2 linked regions of the Stegostoma tigrinum genome follow. The main gene of each other region encodes a partner of the protein of the gene in region 2 in a complex. Links are inferred from orthologs where the notes say so. Each region holds a gene or a part of one and is shown on either strand. Other genes may lie near its edges.

Evidence for each region.
Region 1: the proteins of gpaa1 (region 2) and pigu are in contact, whole or in part, in a cryo-EM structure (PDB 8IMX), measured with the Homo sapiens proteins. The link is inferred for Stegostoma tigrinum from reciprocal best matches to the Homo sapiens genes GPAA1 and PIGU. Residues at the interface, in NP_003792.1 of Homo sapiens: Gln245, Leu310, Arg311, Arg313, Phe358, Leu359, Ile371, Ala389, Leu390, Trp393, His397, Leu500, Ile504, Leu508, Cys512, Leu515, Thr516; in NP_536724.1 of Homo sapiens: Tyr349, Ile355, Phe356, Cys360, Ile363, Val364, Leu367, Leu368, Val371, Leu372, Leu375, Ile377, Tyr378, Ala379, Gly380, Ser381, Phe386.

Annotation. Positions count from the first base shown.
Region 1 is NC_081372.1:12,865,984-12,874,482, forward strand, and holds the start of pigu (phosphatidylinositol glycan anchor biosynthesis class U protein), read right to left. Parts: upstream 3,389-8,499; 5' UTR 3,337-3,388; coding exon 3,207-3,336; intron 1-3,206. UniProt on the Homo sapiens protein: Component of the glycosylphosphatidylinositol-anchor (GPI-anchor) transamidase (GPI-T) complex that catalyzes the formation of the linkage between a proprotein and a GPI-anchor and participates in GPI anchored protein biosynthesis.
Region 2 is NC_081355.1:159,738,096-159,746,410, reverse strand, and holds the start of gpaa1 (glycosylphosphatidylinositol anchor attachment 1 protein), read right to left. Parts: upstream 3,411-8,315; 5' UTR 3,295-3,410; intron 1,485-3,294; exon of another isoform or gene 1,201-1,484; intron 148-1,200; exon of another isoform or gene 63-147; 5' UTR 1-62. UniProt on the Homo sapiens protein: Component of the glycosylphosphatidylinositol-anchor (GPI-anchor) transamidase (GPI-T) complex that catalyzes the formation of the linkage between a proprotein and a GPI-anchor and participates in GPI anchored protein biosynthesis. Binds GPI-anchor.

The sequences.
Region 1 (8,499 bases), on a different chromosome or scaffold from region 2:
GCACCCTTTCAAGTTTAACAACATCCTTCCTACAGTAGGGAGACCAGAATTGAACGCAATTTCAAAAGTGGTCTAACCAATGTCCTGTACAGCTGCAACATGACCTCCCAACTCTCGTCCTCAATGCACTGACTAATTAAAAACAGGCATACCAAGTACCTTCTTCACTATCCTGTCTACCTGTAACTCCACCATTAAGGAGGCACAAACCTGCACTCCAAGGTCTCTTTATCGAGCAACACTCCAGTACTCAGACCTTGGAATGTAGGAATTGAGATGTTATGTTGAGGATGTATAGGATGTTGATGAGGTCTCCTCTGGGGTGCTGTGTGCAGTTCTGGTCACCCTGTTACAGGAAAGATATTATCATTCTGGACAGAGTTCAGAAGAGATTTACCAGGATGTTGCCGGATATCAAAGATGAGTTATAAGGACTGTGACTTTTTTCACTAGAACGTAGATTGAGATTTATAAAATAATGAGGGGCACAGTGAATAGCAGGTGTCTTTTTCCTAGGGTCGGGGATTTCAAGACTAGGGCACATACTTTTAAGGTAAGAGGAAAAAGATTTTAAAAAAAATGAGGGGCAACTTTTTTGTTTTTTTACACAGAGAATGGTTCGTGTGTGGAATGAAATTCTAGAGGAAGTGGTGGATGTGACCACAGTTACAACATTTAAAAGACATTTAGATAAGTAACAAATAGAAATGTTCGGAGGGATATGGGCCGAGCGCAGTCAGGTGGTACTGGATTTGTTTGGGATTATTGTTGGCATGGGTTGGTTGGACCGAAGGGTCAGTTTCCATGCTGTATGACACTATGACTCGCCAGGACTCGAGGATTAAGTGTTAAGTCATGCCCTGATTTGCCTTATGAAAATTGAACACGTCACATTTATCTAAATTAAACACCATCTGACACTCCTCGGTTTGTCTGATCAATGTCCCATAGTACTCTTCAATAATCTTCTTCACTGTCCACCACACTACCAATTTTGATGCCTTTTGCAAACTTACTAACCATTCCTCCTACATTCACATCCAAATCGTCTAGTGAATGGGAAAATTGAAAGCAAAAGGGATCCGTAAATTTTACAGCAGTGACTGTGTGACCAAAGGCTGGGATGGAAGCAATTCTCTTTAAATTTCCTTCAGGTTTCCTATAGGATTTTTTGATGTATCTGAATTATGCTGTCAATTCTAAAATGTATAACCACCAAGGCTGCCTACACATTTATCCAATTTCAGTCAGCCATATTCCCCCATTACTGGCAGGCATCTTGACACAGTTACCAAAACAAGACATCAAGATATTTAATAGTGCTGTTTGAAAAGTAAAATTGGTAAATAAGCATTTAAATACATGGTTAAAACTAAGATTAACAGAAAGAAGGATTAATCATGATTGTTCTTCATGGAACTATTGACAGCCCTAACAACAAGTTAAACTGCTTCCAACACAACCGACCATAAATGTATCGTCTTAAGTGTTAAACAGCACAAAATTTCTCTTGCCAGAAACAAGTCAAAAGTAGGGTTAGCAACTGTCTGGAAATGTTCTAAAGTTGAAGGGCTTGGTAGTTGAGATGGGCTCAAGGCACACACAACATAGATACCTGACAAGCATGGGTACGTGCTCAGGTGAGTACACGCGATGCATTGCAATGTCAGGATTATCCTTCATAATGAGATGTAAGTGATTTGCCTGTGTCTGTGATTCATCCAGAGTCCTAATGAGTAAATCTACCTCTGACTCAAACTGATATGGATTCAAGTCCCACACTAAAACTGGAGCTTAAAACTGCAGGCTGATCATCCAGTGCAGTATTGAGGGAGTGCTGCAATGTCAGAGATGGAATTGGCTAGATAAGATATTAAATGAAGACGTGGCATACTCTCTCTGATGTACCTTAAGAATCCAAAATCATTTTTTCAAAGAGGTGGTGGCAAGTTTCCCACTGGTATTTTGGCCTATATTTATCTCTTCATTAATATTACAAAACAGAAATTCTGGTCTTTACACTACTGTTTGTGGGAATTTGCTATGTACAAGTTGGTTGCCACTTTTCTTGTATTACAACAGTGACATGAGTGCACTGAGTATAGGAGTTGGGAGGGCATTGGTTAGGCCACTTTTGGAATTTTGTATTCAATTCTGGGTCTCCCTGCTGTAGGAAAGATGTTGTGAAACTTGAAAGGGTTCAGGAAAAGGATTTACCAGGATGATGCCAGGGCTGGAGGGTTTGAAAAATAGGGAGAAACTGAATATTTTCCTTGGAGCATCGGAGACTGAGGGGTGACATTGTCGAAGTTTATAAAATCATGATGAGAATGAAAAAGGTGAATAGCCCAGGTCTCTTTCCCAATGTAGGGGTGCCCAAAAGTAGAGTGCATCGGTTAATGATGAGTGAAATAATTTAAAAGGAACCTAAGGGGCAACTTTTTCCATACATAGGGTGTTGTGCGTATGGAATGAGCAGACAGGTGTGGTGGTGGAAACAGGTACAATTACAATATTTAAAAGGCATCTGGATGGGCTTGTGAATATGAAAGGTTTAGAGAGATACTGGCCAAATACTGGCAAATGGGACTCAGTCTGATTGGAATGTCTGGTTGCATGGACGAATTGGGCCGAACGGTCTGTCGCTATGCTGTACATCTCTACGACCACAAATCAAACGTACTTCACCTGCAGTAAAGTGCCTTGTACCATCCCAAATGGTGTGAAAGGTATGACTGATTATTTTTTTAAAAAGAGAGAACACAACAAAAAAAAATCAAAAAAGTTTGATCCTGCAGCTCACTGCTGACCAGTAAGTCCTGCAAAACAAGAATAACTGCAGCACCTGCTCACAGAGGTGCCACTACATATCTGTGGCTAGAAATTGCAGGGGGAAAGGTTTTGCAAAGACGGGATGTAGAGCTGTTTAAATGCAAGATCTCAGCAATAAATTTGATCGCCGTTGTTATACTTTCCTGAGATCCTAGCAACAGCACTGGAATGCGCATTTTTGCGTGCCACACGTTATGAATTAAGCATTAAACATTTAAAAAACGGATGGCAGTGCTGATGGGGGATTCCTGCAGCTTGCAAATGAAGTGACAATCAGAAGCCCTTAGAGCCCAATCCACACTGACAAGAGAGGGGCGGCGGGAGGGAGGCTGCAACGGGCCAAACGAATGGTTAAACATACACGAAACAGATACCTCGCTTCCACGAATTCAGAGGGGAGACCACTTCCACTCGCTCTGAGATAAAATCCACCAGCGAAGAGCGGAACAGCACAGCCCTGACTGTCACGGCCACAACCAGCACCAAGAGCAAGGAAGCGGCCATTGTCCCAAACACCGGCCCGGCGGGCGGGCGGGCGGGCGAGAGGGGGCGGGAAAAAGGGAAGAACGGAAACGGATGTGACGCCGCCCCCCCCACCACACACACACACACAAACGGCCGCTGCAGTCCTCGCCCCACACCGCCTGGACTACAGGGACCGTGGTGCATCACACGGCTCACGTCCCGAAGCCTCCGCGACGGTGGCCGCCGAGGGATGGGTGGTCTCTGCTTTCGCGGAACGCCCCGCATCAGAGTGGGGCCGAACAGGTATTGTGGGGATGCTGCGGTGGAACGCGTTTAATACCCTCCTTTAAGACTTTTCCTTTGAGACTCATTAGCAAAAAGAAACATTTTAAGTAACAAAAGAAAAAAAAATCCAGAAAGTGTTGGGAAAGCTCAGCAGGTCTGGTAGCATCTGTGGAGAGAAAGCAGAGTTAATGTTTTGGGTCCAGTGTCCTTCATTAAAAAGAAACTGGGCAGATAAAGGAATGTCTGCTAATGGAGACCATTACTGGCTGATAGTGGGGTGGTTTGTGGTAGTACCCCATGTTGACACCAAGGCCTGGCCTCTGAGGGTTGAGGTAAAGGACATGGAAGAAGGTGCTCAGGCCCTACAATGATTGAACTTGATATGGAGTCCTGAAGGCTGTAGGTCCCCAAGTGGGAAATGTTCTTGGCTGGAACACTGCAGTAAGCCCGAGACACAGATGTTGGCCAGGGAGCAGGGTGGTGGGTATAAATGGCAGCCAACTGGAAGCTCCCAGCAATTTTGCAGATAAAGTATAGGTATTGGATGTCTAGACTTTTTAGCATCTTGTAAGCTGATAAATTGTGCCACGATGGTCGACTCTTTGCCGTGATGGTGCCATGACTTTTCAACCCTGTGTTAACCTTGGCCTAGCTTTTTTTTCCCCCCAGGTGCCCCACTCAGGCATGACTGCCTCTGCCCTATTTTTATTCATTCATGGAATGGAAGTGTCACTGGCTTTTTTTGTCCATTTATTGTCCACCCCTAATTGCCCAATCTGGAGAGCAGTTAAATATCAACCACATTGCTGTTGGTGCACTTGGTGGGTTTTCCCAAAAATTGACAATGGTTTCATGGTCGTCATTAGATTCTTAACCTACGTTTGCTGCAGAATAAGATGCTGGGCTACTTTAATAAGTACAGAAAGTGCTGGAGAAACTCAGCAGGTCTGCCAACATCTAAGGAGAGTGAAATAGATATAATGGTTTGAGTCTCATACTTGCAGACCTGCTGAGATTCTCCAATGCTTTCTGTTTTTTTTTAAAATATTCAGATCCCCAGCATCCGCAGTATTTAACCTTTTACTGGGCTACTTTCTCCTTGGCCAATTGAGTTTTCCTTCACTGGAACGCTGCAGTAAGACTGAGACAGATGTTGACCAGGGAGCAGAATAGATCAACTCATATTAAAGTTACATTTCTGCAGGAAGACCATTGTCAGAAGGAAATGTGTCTTCATCATCCAACAGGGACATCAAATGCAGTGGGGTCAGTCTGGAAGATGAATGAAAGTGTACAGTACATTCTGTCATATTTAAGTTGGGTTGGCTTCAGTTAAAAGAGACCCTGCCATGTTTTATTGGTGTCATGAAGGGCAGTTTTCGGCAAATTTGTGATGTATGTAGATTTTTATTTGTGGCATAATAGCATTAAATTTGAACACATTGTCATAAATGGGCATAAAGCAGAATTCAAAACTAGAGTTTAGGCTTTGAAGTACATTGGTTTGGAAATCATTTATAATGGATTAAGTGTCACTTTACATCAGCAGTCTTATTTAGAAAATGTTAGCTGCATTGATATTTGTCAGATTTAGGCTTCACAAAAGAGACACAATAGCTTAGAAAACTGAAGTGAAGGAATTTCAAACTCTAATTGGACAGTTGAATTGGCTAGGTACTGAAACAAGGTCACATTGCCATTTTGAATCATTAGAGTTGAGTACAGCTATGAAGGTGGAGGATATATAGGCAAATAAAGGATTGAAAAAAGAAAGCAAAAATGAAGCCTGGTGTTTTGAAGTTTCCCTCATTGGAGATGTCAGGATTGTGAAACCTTTTTTTTTCTGGTGCCAGTTTCTGTGGTGGGTTCCAAATGCGGAAGAGTTTATCATTTCTCGTGTGGGTAAGCAAGGTAAATGTTGACTTTTAGCTTAAGCTAAAAAGAGCATAAGTATAGTAAAAAGCGGATTCTTGCTCTCAGTGAGCCAGTAGATGTGGCATTCTCCTTAGTGAAAATATTGGAAGAAATTCGAAAAAAGAAATCAGGAATATCTGTTGAGTGCTGCATTGATACTGAATCACTGTAGGATACAGTACACTCAACAAATGTGTTTTTGAAAACAGACTGAGAATCAATATTGCAGTTTTAAAACAGATGGTGAGAATGGAGAGACAGTAAGAACTGCCGATGCTAAAGTCAGAGATAACAGTGTGGAGCTGGAGGAACACAGCGGGCCGGGCAGCATCAGAGGAGCAGGAAAGCTGATGTTTTGGGTCAGGACTCTCCTTCAGAAAATTTGTTGACTATATTGCCGTTCCTTCACTGTTGCTCATTCAAAATGCTGGTATTCTCTCCCTGATGGTAGTGTGGGTCAACCTACAGCAGGAGGACTGCGGCAGTTCAAAAAGGCAGCTCACTGCCTCCTTCTCAAGGGCAACTACGGACAGGCAATAAATGCTGGCTGGCCAGCCAGTGATGTTCAACATTCCCACAAATGAATTAAAAGCTGTTCTTTTTTGGAGTATAACATCTCTATTTGTATTTTACACGCCTTGGCATTTCTATCTATTGTTACTTCTTCACTCCCATGCCCCTGCCTCCTTAGTTCAAATCCTCCACATAGCAAGCACCCTGTAAGGAAATTGGCCCTAGCTCTGTTTAGATGCAACCATGTTGGCTTTTATAGGATCTGTGTCTCCCACCGACTTACTCCAATGTCCCAGAAGTCTAAAGCCCTCCCTCTTACACCATGTTTCCTGCGATATTTCATCCCTCTTTCTACCTGTGCTGCTGTTACCACAACTGCTGGCACTTGACTCTTCCCACCCTCTCAGCTGTTCATGGATATCCCTGCACAAGAAGGGATCGTTGGGAGATGAAGCATTTTATCTTTTGTGGTGGTCCGTACATAAATCTCTGTGATGGGTTTGTACATTTTGGAGAGTTTGTAACTTCCCGTGTAGGTAAGTAACGTAAAGGTTGTTATTTAACTTAAGCTAAAACGAACAGAAGAGTGGCCAAATAAAACCTTAGCAGTGGATTCACATCTTTGAATCATAGTATTACACAGTGAAGAAGAGATCCTTCAGCCCATCAGGTCTGTACTGCTGAAAATACTACTAGCTATACTTGTCCCACTCTCCTGCACTAAATTTCCTGAATGTTATTATGCTTCAACTGCACATCCAAGTGGAAGTTGTGAGGTTTCCCACCCCAATTACTGCCCCAGGCAGTGCATTCCAGACCACCACCACCACCCTCTTTGGTGAAAACGTTTTCCCTCACATCCCTATAAACCTCCTGCCTTTTCACTTTACAAATATGTCCCCTTGTATTGATGCTTAAATTAAGAGGAACTGCTGCTTTCAGTTTTACATGACCATGCTGCTCATTATCTTTTACGTCTCTGTCAGGTTCTCCGTCAACTTTCTATGCTCCAAAGAAAACAACCTCTACACCTTGTTATCTCAGATTCTCCAGCATCGGCAGTTCCTACTCTGCCTGACCATATCCAGCCTCGCTTCATATGAAATGCTCTGTGGTTTCAAAAAGACCTTTTTTCTTTGACTGTTATACCTGTCCACCACGTTTGTAGTTGGCACTCTGTTCTGCCCTCTCACACTTCTACCAGCCAAACAAAATCATCTGAAATTGTGGCCCCAGACCTTAAATGTCAGCAATGCTCCCTACAAACTGAAGATGTCCTCAGCATTTCACTGAACGCTGAGAGGAGAGATTGATACAGTCAAACACTCCTATGCTCCCTTGTACTTCTGCTACTTGTTTGGCTTTCCTAATTATCATAATTATAATTGCTTTAGTGTTCAGAGCATGAATTACTCCTGCACTTTACACCTCCAGAAAGTCAACAGAATTTCTGGCATTCTGACAAAGTATTTAATTGACTGTAAAGGGCTTTGGGGCAGCTTGAGGTAGCAATACAGAAACGCAAGTCCAATTATCCTGGGATCTGGTTGTTTTCAACATTTTGGTTTGATAGAACATAGAACATAGAACAGTACAGCACAGAACAGGCCCTTCAGCCCACAATGTTGTGCCGACCATTGATCCTCATGTATGCACCCCCAAATTTCTGTGACCATATGCATGTCCAGCAGTCTCTTAAATGACCCCAATGACCTTGCTTCCACAACTGCTGCTGGCAACGCATTCCATGCTCTCACAACTCTCTGTGTAAAGAACCCGCCTCTGACATCCCCTCTATACTTTCCTCCAACCAAAAATAGCGAGAGAGATTTGTGAGCAAAAGCTAAACAATGACAAATGGAGCTCAATTTGGATAAATGTGGGGTACTGCATTTTTGTACAGCAAGGGTAGGGCTTATACAGTTAAAATGGTAGTGCCTTTGGTAGTGTTACAGAACAAAGGCACCTAGGAGTTCAGGTACATAATTCTTTATGTCACATGTAGACAGAGTGGTTGAAAAGGCATTTGGTACACTTGCCTTCATTGCTCAGTCTTTTCCAGTATGGAAGTTGTGAAGTCATGTTGAGGTTGTGGAGGACATTGGTGAGGCCTCTTCTGGAGTACTGTGTCCAGTTCTGGTCTCCCAGTTATAGGAAGGATATTATTAAGCTGGAGAGGGTTCAGAAGAAATTTACCAGGATGTTGCCAGGTATGGAAGGTCTGAGTTGTAGTGGTAGGCTGGGACTTTTTTTAAACTGAAGTGTTAGAGCTTGAGAGGCGATCTTATGGAAGTTTATAAAATAATGAGGGATATAGATAAAGATAATGGTAGTGGTCTTTTCCCTAGGATGGGGGAATTTCAAGATTCAGGTCCCATTTTTATGGTGAGAGGGGAGAGTTTTGGAAAAGACATGAGGGGATAGCAGACATAGAGGATGGTTAGCATGTGGAATGAACTTTGTGAGGAAATGGTGGATATGGATACAGTT
Region 2 (8,315 bases):
CACGGCGACTCGAGAGGAAGGGGCACACTGTGGCTACACTGGGACAGCGTGCACTCTGAAAACTAACAGGAGGCAGGAAAGGGCAATGAGTATCTAGGTAGGCTCTTATCCTCTGGGTGTGGTCAGTAATGTCACTGTGCCTGTAGTCTGGCAGGAAGAGATGAACATGTAATTTATGCAAAACAGGCTGCTCTTAACATCAGATATTTACCACTCCATGTTATAGATAGGACAGTAGCTGAACAACCTGCAGGAGATGAGAAACATGAGCATGCTCTAGACTATATTCACAGAGTAGCTGGGGAGACAGTGGTGCTGGGAGATGCTGGTAGCCCCAGGTGACTGTTCTGGGTTCAAATCACATTGTGGCCAATGGCGAAACATATATTCAATAAAAAACTATGCCAATGGTGATCGTGTATCCGTAGTCAATTACCATAAAATCCCTTCTGGTTCACCGATGTCTTTAGGGAAGGAAATCATAGAATCCCTGCAGTGGGGAAAAAGGCCATTCAGCCCATCGAGTCTGAAACAATCCTCCAAACAGCAACCCTTCCAGACCCAGCCCTCTACCCTATCCCCATGTTTCCCGTAGCCAACTCATCTAATCTTTGGACTGTGGGAGGAAACCGGAGCACCCGGAGGAAACCCACGCAGACACGGGGAGAATGTGCAAACTCCACACAGACAGACAGTCGCCCGAGGGTGGAATCGAACCCAGGTCCCTGGGGCTGCGAGGCAGCAGTGCTAACCACTGAGCCACCGTACCACATTGCTGTACGTACTCTTAAATGTCTTTAGTGCACTCAGTTCAACAATAAGTATGAATAAATTCTGGTCTTGTCAGACACACCCACATCCCATGAACAAAACCAAAATGATACCATGACCTTTATTTTGGTTGGGGGGTTGGGGCTGGTGGTAGGCATTGCAAATTTACTGAAGATGGGGCTCTCCTTCTTAGACCAAAAATGATTTTGGGATTGTTGATCAGTTTACAAGATTATTACAGGTTTAGGTAGGGGGGGGGGGAGCTGTGCTCAGTGGTCGAAGGGAACACAGCTTCAACATTCTGGGCAGGAGACAAAACGGGAACATGAGGAAGAATTTTATTTTTACACAGAGTGGCAACAACCTGGAATTCTCTGCCCTCGAGGTCAGTGAAGTGGAGACGTTGAATGAATTCAAAATGAAATTAACCTGCAGAGCTAGGCGGATCGAGCAGGAGGAGGACTGACTGGGTTACACTGTGAGGAGATAACACTGGACTTGAATGGCTACTTTCAGAGGTGTGAGTGACTATATCAAAGGAACAGTGACTGGGAGCAACTGTATATAACATTAGAGGAGCTTCCAAACAAATAGGTGGGCACAAAGCATGCCATCATGTGGCATCATTACACTCCCTCACAGATAAACCTGTAGGAGATACAACAGCCAGCATCTCTGTGGGACTTCGGTCTCCTGTGGCTGCGGCCTGTGTAAGCGACCACATGAAGACTTTCGGTTTGTGCTGCAGGAACGCAACAAGTCTGTGAGTATTAACGAAAAAGCAGCGTCTTCACCACACGTCCCGAAAGTTGGGGGGGGGGGGGGGGGAGTGGAGGGGAAGGGGGGGGGAGTGGAGGGGAAGGGGGGGGGGGAGTGGAGGGGAAGGGGGGAGGAGTGGAGGGGAAGGGGGGAGGAGTGGAGGGGAAGGGGGGAGAGTGGAGGGGAAGGGGGGAGAGTGGAGGGGAAGGGGGGAGAGTGGAGGGGAAGGGGGGAGAGTGGAGGGGAAGGGGGGAGAGTGGAGGGGGGAGAGTGGAGAGTTGGGGGGTGGAGGGAGGGGGAGGGGGGAGAGTGGAGGGGGGAGAGTTGGGGGGTGGAGGGAGGGGAAGGGGGGAGAGTTGGGGGGGGGAAAGGGGGAGAGTTGGGGGGGGGGAAGGGGGGAGAGTTGGGGGGGGGGGAAGGGGGGAGAGTTGGGGGGGGAAGGGGGGAGAGTTGGGGGGGGGGGGAAGGGGGGAGAGTTGGGGGGGGGAAGGGGGGAGAGTTGGGGGGGGAAGGGGGGAGAGTTGGGGGGGGGGGAGAGTTGGGGGGGGGAGAGTTGGGGGGGGGAGAGTTGGGGGGGGGAGAGTTGGGGGGGGGAGAGTTGGGGGGGGAGAGTTGGGGGGGGGAGAGTTGGGGGGGGGAGAGTTGGGGGGGGGAGAGTTGGGGGGGGAGAGTTGGGGGGGGAGAGTTGGGGGGGGAGAGTTGGGGGGGGAGAGTTGGGGGGGGAGAGTTGGGGGGAGAGAGTTGGGGGGGGGAGAGTTGGGGGGGGAGAGTTGGGGGGGGGAGAGTTGGGGGGGGGGAGAGTTGGGGGGGGGAGAGTTGGGGGGGGAGAGTTGGGGGGGGGAGAGTTGGGGGGGGGAGAGTTGGGGGGGGGAGAGTTGGGGGGGGGAGAGTTGGGGGGGGGAGAGTTGGGGGGGAAGGGGGGAGAGTTGGGGGGGAAGGGGGGAGAGTTGGGGGGGAGGGGGGAGAGTTGGGGGGGAGGGGGGAGAGTTGGGGGGAGGGGGGAGAGGGGAAGTTGGGGGAGGGGGGAGAGTTGGGGGGGGAGGGGGGAGGTTGGGGGGGGAGGGGGAGAGTGGGGGGGGAGGGGGGAGAGTTGGGGGGGAGGGGGGAAGAGTTGGGGGGGAGGGGGGAAGAGTTGGGGGGGAGGGGAAGAGTTGGGGGGGAGGGGGGAAGAGTTGGGGGGGAGGGGGAGAGTTGGGGGGAGGGGGGAGAGTTGGGGGGGGAGGGGGGAGAGTTGGGGGGGAGGGGGGAGAGTTGGGGGGGGAGGGGGGGAGAGTTGGGGGGGAGGGGGGGAGAGTTGGGGGGGGAGGGGGGAGAGTTGGGGGGGGAGGGGGGGAGAGGTGGGGGGGGAGGGGGGGAGAGTTGGGGGGGAGGGGGGAGAGTTGGGGGGGAGGGGGGAAGAGTTGGGGGGGAGGGGGAAGAGTTGGGGGGGGAGGGGGGAAGAGTTGGGGGGGGAGGGGGGAGAGTTGGGGGGGAGGGAGGGCGGGCGTGTGGCAGTGGGGGTATCGGACAATGCCCGGAGGTTGTCTGGGGGAGGAGGGAGGGTAGTGGAGGGGGAGGGGGGAGAGTTTGGGGGGGAGTCCGGGCGGGGAATGGGGAGAGGGAGTGGGGGGGGGGAGAGGCCGAACAGTTGAAGGCGGTGGAGGGAATGGTTTGGTGGGGACACAGCCAGACGCGGTTTCCATGACATCAGCGCCCCCATCCGCTCCGCCGATCTGTGCCTGGCGCGGGGTGCGTTTGTGTTCTAACGCCCCGGCCCTCGCTCACCCCGAGCCGCGGACACTACCACTGCGTCTGCTCCTGGCCCTCAAAGCGCTACCCCTTGCCGCAGACCGGAAACGGCACCACCCGGACAGTGTACAGCGGCGCACACATTTTCCGGCCTCCATAACAACAAGACGTAGATGTGGCAAGAGGTTCCGTCTGAGCAGAAAGTTCAAATCAAATGTTTGTCAGCAGCGCCAGCTCTGGCCGGCAGAGTGCCACTGCAGTTACAAATGTATTTCTCAATTGGAAGGTTGGATTGGGCTAAGAGTTGGTTAGTTGAGTTGGATGAATGGCAGGCTGGTAATTGTTGAATGATGGACACTGCCTGTTAGTGTGGTCGAGGCAAAATCCCTGATAACATTTATAACCCTTACATTACAGATCAACACTGAGACCTAGATCTGCAGCTTTCAGGTAACTGCACCTCCTCCACAATAACACTCAATTCTGGAGCCCCCCCCAGGAATGCACTCTTCATCCCCTACTGTACTTGCTGCACATCTATAACTGTTGCCAAATTCTGAACAAATGCCATCCATAAGTTTGCTGACAACATCACTGTAGTAAGAAGGATATCCAACACCAAAGAGTCAGAATACAGAAAGGAGACATATTGCAATGATAACCATCTCTCTTCAATGTCTGAGATAACAAAGTGTGAAGCTGGACGAACACAGCAGGCCAAGCAGCATCAGAGGAGCAGGAAGGCTGACGTTTCTGAGGGAGAGACCCTTCTGCAGAAGTGTCTAGGCCCGAAACATCAGCTTTCCTGCTCCTCTGATGCTGCCTGGCCTGCTGTGTTCGTCCAGCTTCACACTTTGTTATCACAGATTCTCCAGCATCTGCAGTTCCTACTATCACTCTTCAATGTCTGCTTTCTTCTTTTCTCTTCCTTTTGCTTTTACTGTTTTCCTTCCTTTCTTCAAGCCTGGAGAATGGCCGGTGAAAAAGGAAGCCGACGGTGGCAGGAATGCCAGGACGAGCCAGACATTGCTCCACCCCAGCCTGGGGTCTCATGGCGACTGAGAAGCAGGTCCCAGGCTGACTGCCCGAGCTCAGACTCACAGGCTAAGCCAAGGCTCCAGGTCCACAGCTAGGCCTGGGCATCTGCAGGAGCAGAAGTATCAGCAAAAGGGACAGCAGAGGACTCTGACAACCAATGACCAGCAGCAGTGTCTGAAGGAGTGTCGGATGGAGAACACAGAAAATAGTACAGTACAGGCCCTTCGGCCCACAATGTTGCGCCAAACTTTTACCCTAAACCTAAGGTCTATCTAACCTCCACCCCTACATTATACTATCAGCCATAAGCCTATCTAATAGCCGCTTAAATGCCCCTAATGAGGCCGACTCCACTACCCTCTCTGGCAATGTATTCCTCGTCCCGACCACTCTCTGAGTAAAGAACCTGCCTCTGACACCTCCCTGATATCTACCTCCACTCACTTTAAAACGATGCCCCCTTATAATAGCCACCTCCACCCTAGGAAAAAGTCTCTGGCTGCCCACTCTATCTGTACCTCTGATCATTTTGTACACCTCTATCAAGTCACCTCTCATCCTTCGTCGTTCTAAAGAGAAAAGCCCTAGCTCTCTCAACCTTTCCTCGTAAGACCTTCGCTCCATTCCAGGACACATTCCGGTAAATCTCCTCTGCACCTTTTCCAATGCTTCCTCAACTCATCACCATGTTGAATATTTTCCATCCCCTGCCACTACTTTGTCTTCTCAGGGTCAGCCAATTCTGAATCCAATCTGCCACATTTCCCCCTGTCCCATGCCTCCTTACCTTCTGCATGAGCCTACCATGGGGAACCTTATCAAACACCTTACTTAAATCCATGTATACCACATCCACTGCTCTACCTTCATCCATGTGTTTGGTCACCGCTTCAAAGAGTTCAATAAGGTTTGTGAGGCATGATCTACCCCTCACAAATCCATGCTGACTATCACTAATCAAACTGTGCCTATCCAAGTGATCATAAATCCTGTCTCTCAGAGTCCTTTCCTATTATTTGCCCACCACTGACGTAATACTAACTGGCCTGTAATTTCCGGGGTTATCCCTGTTCTCTTTTCTGAACAAGGAAATGGCGTTTGCCACTTTCCAATCTTTTAGCACTATACCGTGGGCAGTGAGGACAAAAAAAATCATCACCTGCGATCTCTTCCCTCACTTCCCATAGAATCCTTGGATAAATCCCATCAGGCCCAGGGGACGTATCTATCTTCAACTTCCTCAGAATTCCTTGTACATCTTCCTTACTAACATCGACCTCCTCTAGCCACAACTAGGTCCCTCTCAGTTGTGAATACTGAAGAAAAATATTCATTAAGGATCTCCCCTATCTCTTTAGCCTCCGTAAACAAATTCCCTTAACAATCCTTGACTGGCCCTAACCTTTCTCTGGTCATTCTCTTATTCCTCAAGAACGTGTATAAAGCCTTGGAGTTTTCCTTGATCCTATCTGCCAAGATTTTCTCATGTTCCCTTAGAGCTCTCCTAAGCCCGCTGTGCAGTTCCTTCCTGGATAACCTGTATTCCTCTACAGCCTTCTCCGTTCCTTGTTTCCTAAACCTTATATAAACCTCCTTCTTCCTCTTAACCAGTCGTTTGACCTCTCTTGAGAACCAAGGCTCCCTCACTTGACCGCATCTTCCCTGCCTGCTAGGGACAAACATATCCAGCACACACAGTATGCATTCCTTAAACAATCTCCACATTTCAATAAAGCTCTTCCCTGACAGCCTCTGTTCCCATTTTATGTTACCTAGTTCTTGCCAAACAGAACTGTAATTACCCTTCCCTAAATTAATAACCCTTACCCTGCTGTATGTACTATCCTTTTCCATGACTATTGCAAAAGTAACTGAGTTATGATCGCTACTGCCAAAATGCTCTCCTACCAACAGGTCTAACACTTGGCCCGGTTCATTGCCAAGCACCAAATCCAATGTAACCTCCCCTCGTGTTGGTCTAACCACACACTGTGCCAGGAATCCTTCCTGAACATGCCGGACAAAATCTGCTCCATCAAACTATTACAACTAAAATGTTTCCAATCCATATTTGGAATGTTGAGGATACCCATGTCTACAACCCTGTGACTTCTGCACCTTTCCAGTATCCACCTCCCAATCCGCTCCTCCACTTCTCTGCAACTATTAGGGGGTCTGTAAAATACCCCCAACAAAGTGACTGCTCCTTTCTTGTTCCTGACCTCAACCCAAACTGACTCTGTAGACATATCATTCTCAAACTGCCTTTCAGTAGCTGCTATACTCGCACTGACTCAGTGCCACTCCCCCGCCTCTTTTACCCCCCTCCCTATTTCTTAGAAAGCATCTAAATCCCGGAACTTCCAACAACCATCCCTCGCTCCGAGTTACCCAAGTTTCTGTAATGGCCACAATATCATAGTTCCAAGTACCGACCCATGCTCTAAGTTCATTCGCCTTATTTCTGATACGTCTAGCATTGAGGTCTACACACCTCAAACCAGCTCAGTGTCCACGATTACACTCCATTGGCTGCATTTCTTTATAAACAACCTCACTCCCTAATTGTGTCTGCTGGCAGACTGAATACCTCATTCTCTGAATTACAGATCCGGTTCCCCACCCCCTGCCAATCGAGTTTAAATCATCCCGTACAGCTCGAGCAAATCTCCCTCCCAGGATATTTGTGCCCTTCCGGTTCAGGTGCAACCCGTCCTTACTGTACAAGTCCCACCTTCCCCAGAATGTGCTCCAATTATCCACATAATGGGAGCCCTCCCTCCTACACCCACCCTGTAGCCACGTGTTTAGCTGCACGCTCTCCCTATTTCTTACCTTGTTATCACGTGGCACTGGTAGCAATCCAGAGATAATTACCCTGTTTGTCCTGGTCTTCAGCTTCCAACCTAACTCCCTGTATTCACTTTTCACATTCTCTGTCCTTTTTCTCCCTCTGTCATTGGTACCGATGTGTAGCATTCCTGCTGGTGGCTCACCCTCCCTCCTGAAGGATCTCGAAGAAACAATCCGAGACATCACGGACCCTGGTACCCGAGAGGCAACATACCATCCGCTCATCTCGTTCGCATCCACAGAACCGCCTGTTTGTGCCTCATATCCAGGTAGGTCACCAGCCCACAGATAACCTCAGCCAATACATTAATTGAAGCCAGCTATTAGAGTCATAGAGATCTCTCTATGGTGGCACAGTGGTTAGCACTGCTGCCTCATAGAGGATTTGATTCCACTCTTGGACGACTGAGTGGAGTTTGCATGTTCTCCGTGTCTGCGTGGGTTTTCTCCTATTCCGCGCCCTCTTCCCTTCTGTGCCACAGGGCCAGAGACCTGCCCGCTATGGCCTTCCCCTGGTAGGACCCCCCCCCCCGCCAACAGTGTCCAAAGAGAGACCACTCTCTCCGTGACTCCCTTGTTCGCTCCACACTGCCCTCCAACCCCACCACACCTGGCACCTTCCCCTGCAACCGCAGGAAATGCTACACTTGCCCCCACACCTCCTCCCTCACCCCCATCCCAGGCCCCAAGATGACATTCCACATTAAGCAGAGGTTCACCTGCACATCTGCCAATGTGGTATACTGCATCCACTGTACCCGGTGTGGCTTCCTCTACATTGGGGAAACCAAGCGGAGGCTTGGAGACCGCTTTGCAGAACACCTCCGCTCAGTTTGCAACAAACAACTGCACCTCCCAGTCGCAAACCATTTCCACTCCCCCTCCCATTTTTTAGATGACATGTCCATCATGGGCCTCCTGCAGTGCCACAATGATGCCACCCGAAGGTTGCAGGAACAGCAACTCATATTCCGCCTGGGAACCCTGCAGCCTAATGGTATCAATGTGGACTTCACCAGTTTCAAAATCTCCCCTTCCCCTACTGCATCCCTAAACCAGCCCAGTTCGTCCCCTCCCCCCACTGCACCACACAACCAGCCCAGCTCTTCCTCTCCACCCACTGCATCCCAAAACCAGTCCAACCTGTCTCCGCCTCCCTAACCAGT